Lepisosteus oculatus: one gene and its partner. The protein of the gene in region 2 interacts with the protein of the main gene of each other region in a biochemical or structural test. Links are inferred from orthologs where the notes say so. Each region holds a gene or a part of one and is shown on either strand. Other genes may lie near its edges.

Region 1 (8,765 bases), on a different chromosome or scaffold from region 2:
AAGTACAGTCCCATCTGGGTGACAGCCATTCTGCAATCGACAAATTCCTAATGCAAGAAATTTGATATGGCTAATAAAGTGATCTTATCTTATTGGGGTTGCTGGAACAGATGAGATGGAAAAATTGCTTCACCAGTCGAATCAAGGGGATTAAAGAAAGAGACCAGACATACAAGTCTAGACTGGAATTTTGCCAGGACACCAGTGTGAACAGTACCATAGGATCAACGAGCAAGTTGTCACGACCTCAGTTTAACCTCATTCCGAAGAAAGCAACTTGCACATGACACCCTCATATTTGCAAGGGCAAAAGTTTGGGAATTCTGATCCAGATGGAAAAGTCCCTCTTGCATACCCATTTGCAGCTGCAACCTGGCTTTTCTTGGGAGGTATACCATCTCAGTACCAATCAGGCCCAGCCTTGACAAAGATCCGAGATCTAAGCAGATCAGGCTGCAGGGTTGTATGATACCCAAGGCAATGGAAGTTAGAAGGGATCGTTTTGATCAGCATAAGGCACCACAGGTTACGAGAGCATCACACAGATCTTGTTTGCAAGAAAAAATAAAAATCAATCTTAAACCTTCAGAATAATAACATCTCCCAGTGAAGATTTATAGGTCATTGCAAGAAACAAATCTACATACAGATTTGTGATTTCAGGAGCCCTAAGACTGAAACTCAATAAATACTTAAAATGATTATATAGTAAATCATTTTAAGTACGCCACAGTATGGTCATGATATTTAATTTCAGATTTTAATATTGCAACACCTTTATACCATCCGTGCAAGTACTGTGAAAATTAACAAATGAAGGGACAATGAAAAATGGTATTTCTGTCTAAAAATGGCTGGAGTCATACATATTTTAACCTTAAACATCTACTGCTGCTGATACTTTATTATTTTTAGCAAGTGACAAATGATAGTACTCTAGGATAAATTTATTTCCAAACAGCAATCTGAAATTACAACAGGGGGATTTGTCAATTTAAATAAAAATTATCAGCTTCTTATTCCTGGAGCTTCAGTAATATATACCAAGGGGAGCATTGTTAGCATATTATCCATTGAATAATTTGTTCAAAACTATCACACAAAAACTATTATGGGATCAGCAGGTTTAAATCTGTACAGTGTTGTCTTGCATCTAAAGGCTTAGCAACTCATCTGAAAATTGAATAATGAGCTATTGTAAAGAGGAAAGAAAGAATAAAATATCCCACTATGGTATTATTTTTTACCTCCAATGCCTTAACAAGTTCTTCATTGTTTCCTGCTTCTCCCACAAGAATAACCCTGGTTTCAACACGAGGCAGCATATCTGCAAAAGGATACAGATGATTACTGCAAAGCAAGGGAATGGATACAAATATTAAACTGTCCTCCTCTCTAACAGTTAAGACACAAATGCTAGTCTGTAGTTTATGTGCTCCACAGTGAAAACTAGGCTTTGAAATGCACACAGAAGGCTCTTCACAGCATAAAAATAAGCATAGCAGGAACTGTTCTGGCCCTTGGTCTCACCCAGCCATTCTGATTAAGATGATGCATACATAACTACTCAATGAGCCAGATTGGCTGAATCTCGTTTGCAGATTATTTATGTTCTCAGTGTGCAGCTCAATGACTAAAACGGCATCCTTAATTTTCATATTTATAGAAAAAAATGTAAAAAGGATAAACATTTTCTGATCCCAAAATAAAGTGCAAACTCAAGTTTAAAATCAGTGCTTGTATATCTGGGGAGATACATGCGCCCTCTTCCGTTCCTGCTAGACAAACACCTGTAAACTTTCAAAATTCCTTCCAGAAAATAAGAGAAAATTACAAAAGAGAAAAAAGGCTTCTAACATCAGTCTATTCCACATCTCTTACTTTCTCGGGTTTACAAAACATTTGTTACGTTTCTTTTTTTTTTCCCCACAACACAGGAATCCAGAAAAGCTACACACACTAGGTTTTAGGATCTACAGATTGTGGAGTATGAGGACTTTGTAATTCATCATTATTAAAAAGATTTTAACAGGTTGGCAATACTGGGTGAGATCTGCATTTCCCAAGGCCTTTGAAGAGACGCTGTGCACCGTTATTGTTCAAACCCACTTTAGACATGTCCAGTTTGACAGCAATAACTCAACACAACTGTAACAAGACTTAGCTTTCTGGAGTCACCTTCAGCATCCTCTGGAGTCAGACCAAGAAACAGGTGGTCCCTGGAGGTCTCGGCCATCCTGGAGTCATAGACAGAGGAGTCCACCAGCAGGCTGGGGGCCGCCCCCAGTGTGAGAGTACTGCTGTCAGCCATGGCAGATCAAGAGCTGATGTCCCTACGCAAACACCAAGCCGAAAGGGCAAACATGTCACGCCGCATGCCAGTTACCCCTTCAAAAGCGAATTACGGTTTAACTGAAATAAACTGAATAGTTTGAAACAACTCCACGGCACTAAACCTGATCATGGAAACCTTCAGCGTGACTCTCTCACGGAGTCCGAGACAAACGGCAGTGCTTCACAAGAGCGCAGCCTCTGCTGAATCTTATTAAGAAATGAAGAGCCCATCACAGCAACAGGGAGAAAAACAAATCAGGCCCAGAACTCGCAGCCTTCGCTCAGAAACCAGAAGGCTCAGGGTCAACACAAATAAGCCCGTCCTCCATCCCCGTGTGCAGCCAGTGTCCTAAATAACAAAGCTGCAGAAGCTACTGAAAAAAAACATGCTTCAGGAGAATGGGACTTGCAAGACTCGACCTTTAACTATAAATGCAACGAACTTTTTTTAGGGAAAAAAAACTTAGAGATCAAAACGCCACACGCGTTGTACCAGTCAATCTTTGAAACACTTCCCGATTCAGAAGTATTTTAAATTAACGTTCATTGGAAGATTAAGCTTCGGAGCCACGGAAGATTACTGAAAGAGCACAGGATTCAGCTTTAGGTCCCTCCGGAATGATCAACAGAGATGTTCACATACCAAGTCTCAAAACCGGCCACAGATATTAGCCAGTAAAGGTACAAATACACTCAGAAGTCAATGAGAGTAGCCAGCAACATGCTGGACTGAACCACTCAGGAATAAACATGAACTATTTAATGTCAGACCAGACCTGAACAAGTTACAATCGCACCTGCTACAAACTAGTCAGCAAATGTCTTGCCCCGCAGAAACATTCGCCCGCAGACTCACCCTTTTCTGACCCGGGCATTACAGGGGCAAGCTGTAAGAAACATGTTTTCTTTTATTTCCCAGAAAGACTAACACCCACCAGCAGGAGAGACAGGAGCAGGCCGGCGCCGCAGAGTCAGGTAGGGTGGACGCAGCTAAAACACCTGCAAACAAAACCACACGCGGCTACAACACGAAACGCGTTTCTAATAAAGAAAACAAAAAAAACAAAGAAACAAGATAATACGTCAAGTTCCGCGGTTATTGTGTGTAATGCGAATTAACTGTAAAGCCCCATTCTCGCAGCAAACTGCTATGTTTCGTCTCCTTGAATTCAAAAAAGCTGGACAAACACAGAGCTGCGCGCTGATTGGACGAGAGGCCAGCCCAGGACCGGAAGGGGATCTTCCGGAAATAACGTCCCCGCGGTTCCCATTGGCTGGCGCTTTCAAACCGGCTCGCGTGCCCGAGTGCCCCAGTGCGCGAGCCTGCAGTGGCGGCGGGCGCGGTTCGTCTCGGTAGGGTTTCTGTCAGCTTGTAAACATCACGGTTCCGAGCGATTGAATGTAGCTAGGACAAAAGTATCATTAAAAACACAGGAGGGCTTCACATGAGTGGAGGTCCCGTCGACCTCGGTGGGTGACTCAAACTAGTGTACTAGGAGAGACGTTCTTACACAAACGTGGCCCTCTGGTCTCTGTATCCCCTGATGGTGCTGAAACGCACAGGTTGCATCCCCGAGTCTTCACATGCTGGTGTTGAACTGGTGCAGCATGAACCTGCAGGTCACTTGGCATCGCCGGACCCCAACGCTGACAGCCCGAGTGTGCGTGTGTGCATCTCTGCAATCTGGTTTCTGTCTTTTGCTTTTACTTCTTTCCTTTATAAAAACGTTATTGTCGTTGACGTAGAACATCAACACGGATCAGATGCTATGGTTTAATTGCATAAAAAAAATGCAGTTTTACTCCATAGGGTGGTGGACACTTGACAGGGCTGTGTTCGCTGCAGTTTCTGGAGGGTGACTCGCGGGTCAGCAGGACGGGTGTTGCGCCTCTGCAGTGTGCTCTAGGCCGGCCGAAGAGTGCACGACTTCGCCGCAGAACGTTTCTCAGCTTATTACCCACAGACTATCTCGAGTGAATGATGATGGAAAGATGTGTTTATTGTACGAGGTGACTCCAGAAAGTTGATTCTTACAGCTTTCTCAGTTTTATTGCTGTAGACGCCAGAGTATCCGCTCAAGGTGCGCCACAAGACACGTCTAGGTACTCTGCTTCATCTGCTTCACCTTCACCCTGCTGACATGGATTCATCTGCTTTTTCCACTTGCAAAATACGATACATTCGTTGGAGACTCAGTCTGCATCAAAGTTCCCCACATATGTTTTTATTTGAGAGTCAACAAAAGCACCAAGAAGCCATTTTCAGAGTACTAGTATCACAGTATAGTTTTGAATGCCCATTATTTAAGTTTTAAAAGCTTGGAAAAGTTTATTTCACGGCACATGAAAACATAAGTTAACATAAGTTGAATTTATTCTTGTGAAGGAAAAAAGGAGTGCAATTCTTTATTTTGTTAGCCTAGGAAAGGAATTAATGATCATTTGTCTGTGGAAAAAATAATTTTGTTTGTCAAACATTGTTTTTAAAAACCCTACAATTTTATAGTTTCATTTAAATGTATTATCGTATAGTTTTGGACACTTAACATTATGACTGAAGACCTCACAATCACAGACACTGCAGATATTTTTTTTTACAAGATTAATTTCTGAAGCATACATATAAAACACATTTATCTGTGTGTTTTCTACACAACTCTGGTGCATGAAATCTGGTGCCCCTTTGTGCATAAATGAGACGGGGAGGCCGAGAGTGGGGTTTAATTTATTCTGGTTTGACGAGAGCGTCGGTGCTGGAATGAGGAGCCATCCTTTATGAAGGCCTGTAATGAGGAGGCAAGGCGACCGGCTCGGATCAGCGCTAATTTGGATCAATGATGCCACCCACCAGCTGACACACTCAATAGTGGGAACAACATGTAAAACTTTACAATGTGCATATCTTTTATATATAATTTAATCCCGACAGAAGAAAGCAGATAAAAAGTTAGTGCCTACCACCAACCGAAGGAATACATTACGCTTTAAGGCCCACATTAATGGTCTTTTCTGTTCCTCGCCGGAGCAGCAGCTGACAGCACAGAGTTATAATGATGTGCTGTATGCATTCCACTGTACCTGAATGGCATCCATCATGAGCCGACAAGAAGACACAGACACCTTCTTTTAACAACGCATTGTAATTTCAATATGTTTAAAAATGTACAGAAAGGTCATTTACACAGTATATCCAATGACATTGCTCATACATATACAAAATGCAGTTTGCAGTCTAGGATTCCAAGTTTTTTTTTATCCTTTCAAATAAATACAGACAAAAGTTAGCAGAAGGAGCTTCACAATTTCTGAATGAAAAAGACTGTGCCTGAATGGTCTGCCTCAGTAGAAATGCTTTAAGAAACATCAAGACAATGCAACACCTTGATTTTGTTTTTGGTCACAAAAGTAAAGACCAGAATTTTAGGGTATCTCTTTTTACACCACCATTAAAAGATAAAATTACATTCAATCCACTAGAACAAGTAGCAAAATCAAAAGGCCCCTACTGTAAGTTCTCAGGCACAAGTCCCACAAACACCTTGAATATGTTTTAACAAAACTGCTGTAATTTTGAAAAAAAAGAAACATTCCTGGTCATCTATCATAAAGCTTATCATTGACAAGCAATAGCTAGCTCACGTAAAGGAGTTCAGGACAATTCGTAATGCCCATGTGAAGCAGAGTACAGTGAAGATGAATTATTCTGCGTTACAAAAAAACTGATACGAGAAAATTATATTTGAAAATGATCAAAACCTGAAGTTTATAAACTACTGATAATGATCTGTTTAATCAAAATGTGCGCATGACTTTATTCTTAGCAATTTGCTACACTTGTCTCGTTATGTATGCATCACGTCTTCACGGCAGCTATCTAGCAGCCTCTCACTGTGACAGCGTTCCCAGCGTAACAGTGTATTCTGAACGCAAGAGTGTTTTGCTCTTGTAATGGTTTTCTACAGTTCACAATTTACTAAACATTGAAGAGTATGTCTAGTAAAAATGCTCATATCCTGACACACAGAAATATTTATAAAATATATATATAACATATGCTACTCTCAGATCAAACTGAATATTGTGGCTGGGAGAAGTACACGAGAACTTCACACAAGCAAAACACTAAGCCTGAAAACAAATACAGCACATTCAGATGAAATATAGCCAAGAGTGAATGCTTCTTCAAAAATGAGAGGTAAACCTGTACTGTTCAAAGAATTACTTCTCTCACAGATGGCAAGTCACAAATAACTTTCTATTTGGTGACTGGTCTTTGTCCAAAAGTGCTCAGTTTTCGCAGGACGCAGAAATCCATGCGCCGCAGACAGGATATGGCCTGTTTCTGCTTGTGCTGTTCTTGTCCATATTGCCAAAGGAGAGGAGAGGGAAACAGTGACACCAACAACCACACAGGAACCACTCACAACATCACCCTCTCCCTCAGCAGAGTGTTACAGTCGCCAGGCTGGAGCGCAGCTAAACACAGTGAGAACCAGAGCTGCAGGGTCTTTATCTCCGTCGCCACACTATCGATGTCTATATTCAGGCTCAACAGACGCTGACAGACCTGGTCCTCTCAGCTGTCGCAGCTTGCTGTTGCAACCTCCTGACACACACGCAGCTCTGCCGAGTTACAGCCAGGAAGGGAAGGAGCAGCGGCACGTTACTGGAACTGTGGAACGGAAAGGCACTGCAACAGCGCTGAATCAAAGCATAAAGCACCACTTTTTGTGCTATTTATTCGCCTGGAAGGAGAGCTTCTGTACAGGACGTAGCAGCTGAGAGGGTGTCTGGTTTACTACCCAATGGCAGCAGACGTAGGAGCTCTTTGGACAATACAGGCAGATTGGAACCTGGAGCCTTTAGTTACAATAAGCAAAGCAGCTTCCGCTAGAGGACTCCTCTGGGAGGGCGGATTGAAGGCAGCCTGCAAGCTCCAGACCCGCGTGGCACACAAGAAAGCCAGAAGCTGAAAGACGACTGAGAATCCCCTCGGTTTCAACTCCCAGCCCTCAACTCCGTCGCCATCTGTCCCGCGCGCTCGCTTTCCTTCTCTTCCGTGTCGGCGAGAGCGGCCGTGCACATGTCGCTGAAAAAATCTGGAAAGGGGAACGGCGGTTAAGAGGCGGAGAAACGAATGGCAACGCGGCGTTTTGAAACGACTCTGTCTGTGCGAGACAGCAGGCGGCTGCTGCAGACGCTCGGGAAAGCGCACGGTGTTAGATCTATCTAACTTTACTTTCTTGGGCTGCTGGGTTGTTCTCACGCCGAATACACTGCAAGCCAATGCAGTCGTGTGGCCAGGCCAGTCCCCGGGAATACAGGGATGGAAATGCCAGACAGGCTCGGGGGAACCCGAAAGGTTCCAGAACAGCAGGATGTAACAGTGGAGGAGACCTCAAGCTACTGCAGCACCTCCACCTGACTCAAGCGGGGTCTCGGGCTCGGCTCCTGGAGGGCCTGTTGTCTTCTGGGTTTCGTTCCAACCTAAGGAGTCGATTAAACAATTAACCTAATTATTTTCTGAATTAGACCTGTACAGGATTTTTGGTAAGGACTTTTTTACTGTTGGCTGCACAACACATCTCGCTTCATTAAGGTACAGCTACCTACAGTTCAAATCACTTTGGATTCTGGTTAGAAGCATTACACTTATATAGCTAATTAAATAATTAGTTCATGTATGGAACTGAGAATGTGGTTGGAACAAAAACCAGAAGACTCCAGGCCCTCCAGGAACTGAACCTGAGACTCCTGCTCTACAGCAAAACACACTGAATGGATACAGGCTGTTCTCAGCTATGGGGGCTCTTCTCTAACTGTATCATCACAACACCTTCCAGGGTCTCGTGATAAAAACAAATACATTAGTACAATACAAAATGGATATGGTTCCATTTAATCTATTTCACACCAATAAAGGATGAAAGGCACTTGTTATGAAGAGTGAAAGGAGCCAAGCCACCAGGAAAGTAAAGACCATGAATATTGCAAGTAAGGGGTTAGCAGAATGGGAAAAGAGACAATGCATGCTGCACTCACTTAGCTTTCAACCTGCTATTTAGTTCCCTGTTTTTTATTTTAAATCTCTCTACTACATAACGTATTATCGAGTACTGTGGGCTGCAACCTGTTTCACTAGCTGTTACAAATTAAGTATTTAATAAGATGTACCAGTATTACTGTTTATGTGAACTCCTCCTGCAGACAGCAATATGCTGGACGGAACCAAACCTGTCTTCTCAGTTAAAAGGGTCTTGACTAGCCTAAAATACGAAAAAGAATGTTCAGTTTAATTGAGGGCTTACCACAGGGGTGGGTTTCAGAGTGATCATTGATTTGGATTAGAAGAAGGTGACTCATTGACATGAATTTTCCCAGCAGACTCTTCAGAATCAACAACTAACCACACACCAGCGGACACAAGAGTA
Region 2 (8,602 bases):
CTATGAAGGAAAAACACAGAACTTTGAGGGACGATAAGACGATTGCATTTAGCACTGTAATTATGTGGTTATGCGGTCACAAGACATGAAATATATTAACTGATATTTCATTTTTACTTACTAGTTATGAATAACCACATATAGTATAAAAGAGAAATGTTACTTGCCATTTCTCTCACTTGGTAAAAAAAGGAATTTTCAGCAAAGTTTATAACGGTTTCTAGTCTTTAACTTGTACCTTACCGACACCTTACAGCACAGATCAATGGTGCAGCAAGGACTTTCTCCCCAATTCAAAATGCTAGTACTTAGTGAAAACTGTTAGGACTGAGCAAAGCCTTGAATGTGGTTGAGCTGACATTACAACTCTGTGCGTCACCATTTTTTCCCCTCCAATACGTTAAATGTCTGGGGTAAAATATTACCAGGGAGTCATCTGTCTTGTCATAGCTGATATCTGACAGAATGGATGCAGACTCGTCAATCGTGGTTAACCTGCAAAAGAAGAAAAATGGCAATAGAGGTCTCAGATAAGAAAAAGGGATGGTCTTCTTAGCTTCTTGGAGGTGCCAGCCAAACAGAGGGTACCTTTCCCTTCAGGGCCACCTCAGAAAAGGCACCAACCTGCTGTAATAACAGCATGTGTCAGTGGACAGAACACTCAACTTCCTTTAAAAGGAATTGGAAGAGTAGGGTCATGCTTACCTCCGGCTGGTGTTCTGTGGGGCTGCCTGAGTCCGGGCATTGAGGAAGGCCAGGGCAGATCGCTGCTCTTCGTTTAGCTGAATGCTAGTGGATCCCTCCGTGATCAGCAGCTCTCTGATCAACTGGATCTGCCGATCCTGAAATACAATGCCAATGGGGAAAGAGGGTCACAGTGGGCCCATTTATAAGCACGGCTCCCATTCTTCACATAATACACACATGCCCATACTGCACACAAAATATAGTTTTTAGGAATCTTCTCTATTCAATACTTACAAAAACACACCTCATCAACTTGGTATAGCTGTAACCACTGAGCAAATTTAAAATATTAGTTAAACTGAAGAATGAAATTAAAAGGACTTATTCTCAGGTATTTTCATAGGATTCTATGCCCCTTCAAGTACCATCTCAGTCCCTGGAGAACTAGCTCTCATTCGGTCTCTTCAGAAAAAGCCCAAGACAGAAGCCTCAGTGTGACTCTCGCTGCTCGCATAGGCAAGGTTGGGAAAGCACAAAAGCCCCCGAGCAGGAGCTGGGGCACACCCACCAGTTTCTCGCACTCGGCCTCAGCCTTCTGGCGCCGGCGGACCTCCACGTCCACCTGGTTGCGGGCGTGCTTGAGCTTGACCTCCAGGGCGCCGCGCTCGGTCTCCGCCTTGGCCAGCACCTCCTTGCACGACACCAGCTCCTGCTCGCTCTTCAGCCACTTGCGGCGGCAGTCCTCGAAATTCACCGCCAGCTGGATGAACTCTGAAGAGCAAAGAGGCTCAGGAGGATTCTATACCTGAACTATATGTGCTGTATGACTATCTCCTGTAAGGCGGGCCTAAGGTAACACTTGGTTTCAACTTTTTAAACTTAGTTTTTATTTCAGCTGAATTGACACTTACTGTAGGAGAGGCAAAACTAACTTTAATTAGGCATCTTAATCAGATCGGAGGTATCAAGACATACACATTTAACAAGGGACTCAAAATCATTGACCTGTGAATAAAATATACAGTACATAAAATTAAGCATACAAAAGCTCATTAAGGTATAAACCAGGACCAAAATAAATTCCTGTTATAACTTTGGTATAAGAGACAATATTTTTTTTGCTTATGTTTGGGTTTTATGCTGCAATATTTTTAACTGAAAAATTAAGACTACTTTTAGGCAAAATAAGAGTTTCAGCGTGTTTTCCAACATTTGTATTGCTTGCACACTCATGGCCCAAAATATCAGGAACACAATCAAATAACCGGCTCCCACCACAGCTGCAAAGCACAGGCGGCTTAAGGAGCAGGAGAGACCTCCATCACCTTTCCTGGGCAGAAAAACCTCCAGCACTGAATCCTCTTCAGATCTTGCAGAACGGGTTGAACACGCAGTTCATTCCCACATCTCACACCATTGTCACCCCTCATGGCCTCAGCTAACGATATCCTGCTGGACGACGGGATAAGACTGACGATCCAGAACCTTGTGGAATATGCGCCACATCCTATGAAACCTATTTGGGATGCTCATGAAGGCCCACCGGGTTATTTGATGGGGTCACCTAGAATTTTGGCCCTTGAGTTTACACGGCAAATTAGCTTTAATGACAGTGATGAGCATTTGATTCTGACATTGATATTTGCTCCTGGTCCCCTCAAGCTGCTGTTTTCTTTCATTCCACCCTCAACTCCTAAGGGCTTTATCTGAATCAACTGTTCACATAACACGTCTATGACCACAGTCACTACGCCTTCACCCAGCGAGGATGATTATAGCCGTGAAGCCCGGAGTACAGCAGTCCTCCGGGACCAGGAGTGAAGATCACGCTGTAGCTCAACAGCCTCGTGCGAAGGGGCTCCCTTTAGGAAAGAAAGGCGCTTACGAGGTTCGACGCTCTCGTTCAGGACTTCAGCGTGGTGCCGCAGCTTGTCAAACAGGCCGTGCAAACTGACCACCGCGGTCTCCATCGCCTGCCAAGACACACGCGGGTTAGAATAAAATACCCACTCTCTCAGTTTGAATGACAAAAGTAACTGCTGCAAAAAGCCCCAAATCCTCAGGTCATCAGAACTTTAATATAGATCAGGTGGGTAGCTGCGTCAGCATGCGTAGGCTGCAAAGGAACAAGTAACTTTAATAAGATGATCTTTGGGTGAGAAATCAAGCAGGGTCACTGGGAATAACGCACATGCCTACTGAACAATGTTTGCAAAATGGAGAAGGAAGACTAACAAACATTTCTCAAGGCCCTTGAGCTGACTCATTTTGCAAGGTTATTTCTTAGGCTGTAGAACTGCCCTCCATTTATGTAAAGGACCTCTAAAACAGCAAAACTGGGGGATCTCACATCACTTTGGGCAGCCGCTGGTTTTCATTGCAGCCGGGCTCGTTGCGTTACTGAACTCTTAGTCTTAATTGGCCTGGCACGCACTGGGATCCTTTAAGCGTTTTCGGTTCTTAATCCGTGCAAGGTCGCTTTTAATTTCTGCATTGTGTAAATCTGAGAACACAACGCAGAAGAGCCAGCGTACGGGCTTACCACGACCAGGGCAGTATAGGTATACCAACAATATTCGGTAACTATTTTGTTCCCAACATGGTGACTGAGGTTTGGTTAAATGGGCTTAATCCAGCCTCTACTGTTCTAGTACGACAACGCTGAGATCCCTTATTTATAAAGCGCCTTAAAACATTCACACGAAAACGAGTCGCTAATAACATTTTTAGAAATCTCAAATTGAAGGCACAGTCCGCTTGCACAAGACAGAAACCGAACTCTGCACAGCAAAGCGACATTAACCCTGGAGGTTATTTACAGCCGAAACTGGGCAGCACCTTGGTAAACTAAGTCCATTCAATACACAGTTTAACGTGAATTTAAACAGCAAAGCTCGAGGACTGGTCAAGCAATCAAAGTACTTTACAGCCTCCTTTCTGTGTATCTGTAGAAGATTCACAAAGACGAACAAGAAAAGATTCGTTGTGTTATTTTAAACATTCCTCCATTTCGAGAAGTTCAAAGAAAAAGCTGAAGTAGTTCTCGCTTTGTAGGAGTTACCATTATAAAATGGAAACTAATTCTGCCGTTTGGGGGCAAAATCTCACCTCCGACATTTACAAAACTAGTTTTGTATTTCATTTTAAAAACAAACACCGACCCTAGGTTAACATATACACAACTACACAGGAAAAACAAACTGAAAACTTTACGATTGATATTTGTGGTCTTACCCCTTTCACAATGCCTACAAAGCCGAGAAGTCGGCTTTCTTTCTGTAAAAATTAATATATTGTTTTCCCCCAATACTTCTGAAGGTTATTATCCACAGTATTGACGATCTGCTTTTCCTTATCGCAGCCGTTTCGTTTCAATTCAAATTTACCCGCCAGCCAATGACCAAGCTCCAGTCCACGCTACCTAGCGTGCGCGCGCAGGAGAAGACGTCGCGACGTGACGCCTGACGGACGCCATCTTTGTTGTGGCAAAGCCGCGGCGTTCATTTTAAACCCCGTAGTTTTCCGCGGGATCGATACTTCAGATTCTGTGAGAAAGTTGTCGTCTCCTTGTAGTGTAAATTCTGGTTATAAAGATTTCTTATAGAGACATCGGTCATTCTCACCTGTCTATTAGCAACTATATGTGAATTAAAGGAATTATAAGTATTTTATTTTACAATAAATGCAATTTCAGCAGCTATATCACCCTGCAACTCGCAACTCGCAACTAGCAACCCTCTAAAGCTCAGCAGGTGTTAGCCTGGCCAGCAGCTGGATGAGAGACCTCCTGGGAAATCGTGATAATTCATCACGTGAAGTCCATTTTCCAAAGCATCCCACATAAATAATTGTAATAAAGCCTCAAGAATAGACGAGTCTAATCTCACCACTTCTTGAAAGAAACCAGGGTATCCGCTTCGATTTGGTGGAGCGGTGGCACTGTGGCTAAGGATCCGTGCCTGTGGCCGGGAGGTTGCTGGTTTAAATCCTACTCCGTTGGGCTCCTGAGCAAGGCCCTTAACCCCAGTATAAATGGCTGACCCTGTGCTGTAACCCCTAGCTTCTCTCTCCCTGTCTGTGTGTCTCATGGAGAGAAAGCTGGGGTATGCAAAAAAAAGACCAGTTCCTAATGCAAGAAATTGTATATGGCTAATAAAGTGATCTTATCTTATAACTTCGCTGGGCAGCTTGTTCCAGACTCCCATAGCCCTTTGTATAACGAAGTGTTCCTGTTCTCGGTTTTATTTGGTCTTCCCTGGAGTCCCCACTTGTTCCCCTCGGGAGTTTCAATGCGGGATCTGAAAAAGCCCAAGGGGGTGACTTTGACAGCGCCACGGAGGATTCCGAGCACTTGGCCCGTGCGGGGCCAGGGGCCAGGTGAAACAGGTTGCAGCTACACCGAATGTCCACGAGATGGCAGCGTGAGCCCGGTTTTTCTCCAGAATTGCTGCACCACCTGGGAGGACCCAATATTAAGTGATCTAGCAGGGACTCAGGGAACAGGTAAAGTTGTATTCCTATTCCGTGCTGAAAGAAAGACACAACGTTTCAGCTGTGGAGCCTTCTTCAGGTGCGGCTCGTACAATTAAAGATATACAAAACACAAATATACTACATAATAGATAGCATCCAGGGCAGGCTCTAGCTTGAGGGCTCGAAGCAAGATATTGGAAAGGGTCCGTTCCAGATCATAATTTGCGCATAAACTACTATTATCAGCTCCCAGCACAGCCTTAGTTTACCATTTAAAACAGTTTAAGACATCCATTACATAACTGTAAAATGTACTAACCAGCTTTAAAGAACACATAATAAGTTATAAACAAGAAGAAGAAGCACAACTTTTACAAGGATAACGTATTTTAACGCAACGGGGGTTCAGGCGGGCGCCCTTGCCGCATTAGCTCGGCCCCGCACCGTCGGGGGCTCGAACCCTGGACTCCTGCGTCACTCAACAGGGACCCAGCCCGGTGAGCCAAAGAGAGGTCCCACTATCACAGGGAAGGGTGGTGACGTCAGCATCACTGTTACCTCGGACCTACAGCAACGAACTTACAAATCACTGCATTGATACCTTTGCAGAAAGAAATCGTAGAAATAAATATGTGATTAAGAAACAAGTGCGCTCAACAGCAAGGGAGGTGAGATCAGTCAGGCTGGGCAGACGGTAAGATTTTATAAAAACAAAACGCTAAATTAATTCATCCATCGGGGGGCAAAATCTTCAATCATATCTTTTATACGATAGTAGTCGACCCACTGGAAGACTGATGCTCATGATGGCCGGGTCGGCTCTCCGCTCCTGCTGCTGTCAGTCCGACGGGCTACAGGTGGAGTTCACTGCAGCCCCATCTAACTCAATACAGGAGAAACCGCGGGGACAGCAACGCGTTTTCATGCCAATTGTGTATGATCGCTGAACAGTCTTCTGTACCGTACATTGCCTTTCACGCTATTGTTTGGCCGGGCAGCGTCGAGTTTTCGCCAGGCAACCCGCACGGCATGTGTACAGTCGCGGGAAACCCGTTACCTTCTGGTAAAACACCCCCAGAGGGCTTCGTGTCCAGCTTGAAAAGGTGTCTTATCTACCGTTCGCTGGTTACAGGGATCTGACTGACCCAGGACCCAAACAGATCCAAATTACACGACCACGCACAGAGCGCACTATTACAATGACCTGAGCGTGAGTCCGTTTTGAGATCGCTTGTCCCGCTCTTCTTCTCCAAGTTTCAATTCAATTCAGCTTTTTTTTTGTCATTATACTTATACATTTGCGTAGCATAATGAAAGGTATTTCTCACCAGTCTCTCGGGTGCAGTATGTAATGTATATATAGAAAAGCAGACAAGACAATAGTAAATAGAATAATGAAGCGCTTCCGGGTTCACGTGGGTATGACCCCTCAGGTCTGCCTCCCTTTAGCTCAACTGGCTGGGTCCCTGTTGAGTGACGCCGGAGGCCCGGGTTTGAGCCCCAGTGGTGGAGGGCTGACTGAGGTGGGAGTGGTGAGGGTGTATACCCAGGGGAACTCGAATGCACTGCAGTAACAATAACAATGTAAACAACGAGTATGGCACCAGTGTGACAGTACCCAGTTCAAGCTCTGCTTGCATTCAATTGTGGGACATAGGATGTATGTAGTGGTGTAAGGAGAGATCATAGTTTGGTGGGTGGGAGCTGGGGGGGTCACCAGCTTCACGTCTCGAGGGAAGAAGCTATTTCGGAGTCTTTTTGTGTGCGTCTGGAGCATCCGGAACCTTCTACCAGATGGTAGGGGGACAATCAAGTTGTGAGTGGGGTCAGTCGTAATTTTGGTGGCTTTTTTCAGACACCTGGTGTTGTAGATTTCCTGGATGGGTGGTAAGGCACTGCCGATGATGTGTTGGGCAGTTTTGACCACCCGCTGCAGGGCCTTGCGGTCGGATGCGGTGCAGTTGCCGTACCAGGCTGTGATGCAGCTGGTCAGTATGCTCCCCACCGTACATCTGCAGAAGTTGGTGAGGATCTGTGGATGTAGGTGCATTTTCTTCAACCTTCTCAGGAAGTACAGCCGCTGTTGTGCCTTCTTGAAACTGGAGGTGTTCAGTGCCCATGTGAGGTCCTCAGAGATATGAACACCTAGGAATTTGAAGTTGTTCACCATCTCCACCACATGTTCAGGCATGTGGGTGCAGATTCTTTTGGTACCGGTACGATGGTGGTTGTTTTGAAGTACCTAGGTACAGTAGCCTGGGCCAAGGACAGGTTGAAGATGTCAGTACAGAGATCAGCTATCTGCCAGGCACATGTTCTGAGTACCCGGCCAGGGATTCTTCAGAAACATCACGTACTCAATTATGATTGGTCATGTGTTGACGGGGCTTCCATTAGGATCATCCACAGCAGCAACTAAAAAAGCCACTAAGGGAATTTGACAATCAGATTTGAAGGTGCTGATTAAAAATATGTTGTGTTGCATTTTGAGGGGCCCCTAGGTAGGGGTCCCTGGTGGCCTTGGGGCCTGAGATAGACCCCTAATTCGCCCATGCCCAGGGCTGACCCTGACAGCATCCACCCAACACACCCAACACATTCACAATCCTGAACACAAACCAGTGACAGAACAAATAACAGCGAGATGTCTACACGCATCCACACACATGCACATTCACACACATCCACACACATGCACACGCATCCACACACTCACACGCATCCACACGCATGCACATTCACACACATCCACACGCATGCACATTCACACACATCCACACACATGCACACGCATCCACACACTCACACGCATCCACACACATGCAGATTCACACGCATCCACACACATGCACATTCACACTCATCCACACATGCACACGCATCTACACACATGCACATGCGGACACTCACAGAAACACGTTAGTGACTTGGCTCATGTGTGTTTGGAAGGTGGGAGGTCACCGAGCACCCAGACAAAACCCAGCCTGAAACGGGAACAAGGTGCAGACGGTACCCAGTCCAGAACCGAACCCGGGACCCAAGAGCCACCGCTGCACTGTTCCACCCCTGTTCCGATCGTTTAATATCGTGAAACTCCATGACTGCCAGCCTGCCTTGGGCACACACTGTGCGGTTTGTCGTATTGTTACACTCGGGCTTTGTCGAGCATTGCGATTTCCAGGACTAAAGAGGACAGCAATTTTGTTCAATTGCGCTTTCTTATGAACACAAAAACACGTCTATCCCATTTATACTGTGTCTTTCCAGTCATAAATACCCTGAATACAGCGGTTAAGTTGACAGTGAAAATGGTCAAGATCGACGGAACACACAAGTGTCTCAAGACACGTTTTCACGGTTTTCGCTCTAACCGGAAGGCGAGATGAGGAATTTAACTGTTTAATCAGGATCTCTCCTTGGGAGCTTCATTAGGAATAGAAAA

What was found.
Region 1: the proteins of racgap1 (region 2) and ect2 form a complex in vitro, tested with the Homo sapiens proteins (3 studies listed by BioGRID and IntAct, with this or other methods). The link is inferred for Lepisosteus oculatus from reciprocal best matches to the Homo sapiens genes RACGAP1 and ECT2.

Annotation. Positions count from the first base shown.
Region 1 is NC_090708.1:674,652-683,416, reverse strand, and holds the start of ect2 (protein ECT2), read right to left. Parts: upstream 3,543-8,765; 5' UTR 3,270-3,542; intron 2,334-3,269; 5' UTR 2,312-2,333; coding exon 2,179-2,311; intron 1,328-2,178; coding exon 1,248-1,327; intron 1-1,247. Other genes in the region: mcf2l2 (guanine nucleotide exchange factor DBS), read right to left, coding at 7,333-7,433, 8,509-8,600. UniProt on the Homo sapiens protein: Guanine nucleotide exchange factor (GEF) that catalyzes the exchange of GDP for GTP. Promotes guanine nucleotide exchange on the Rho family members of small GTPases, like RHOA, RHOC, RAC1 and CDC42.
Region 2 is NC_090696.1:15,976,435-15,985,036, reverse strand, and holds the start of racgap1 (rac GTPase-activating protein 1), read right to left. Parts: upstream 4,080-8,602; 5' UTR 3,922-4,079; intron 2,661-3,921; 5' UTR 2,658-2,660; coding exon 2,573-2,657; intron 1,459-2,572; coding exon 1,256-1,458; intron 843-1,255; coding exon 706-842; intron 496-705; coding exon 426-495; intron 1-425.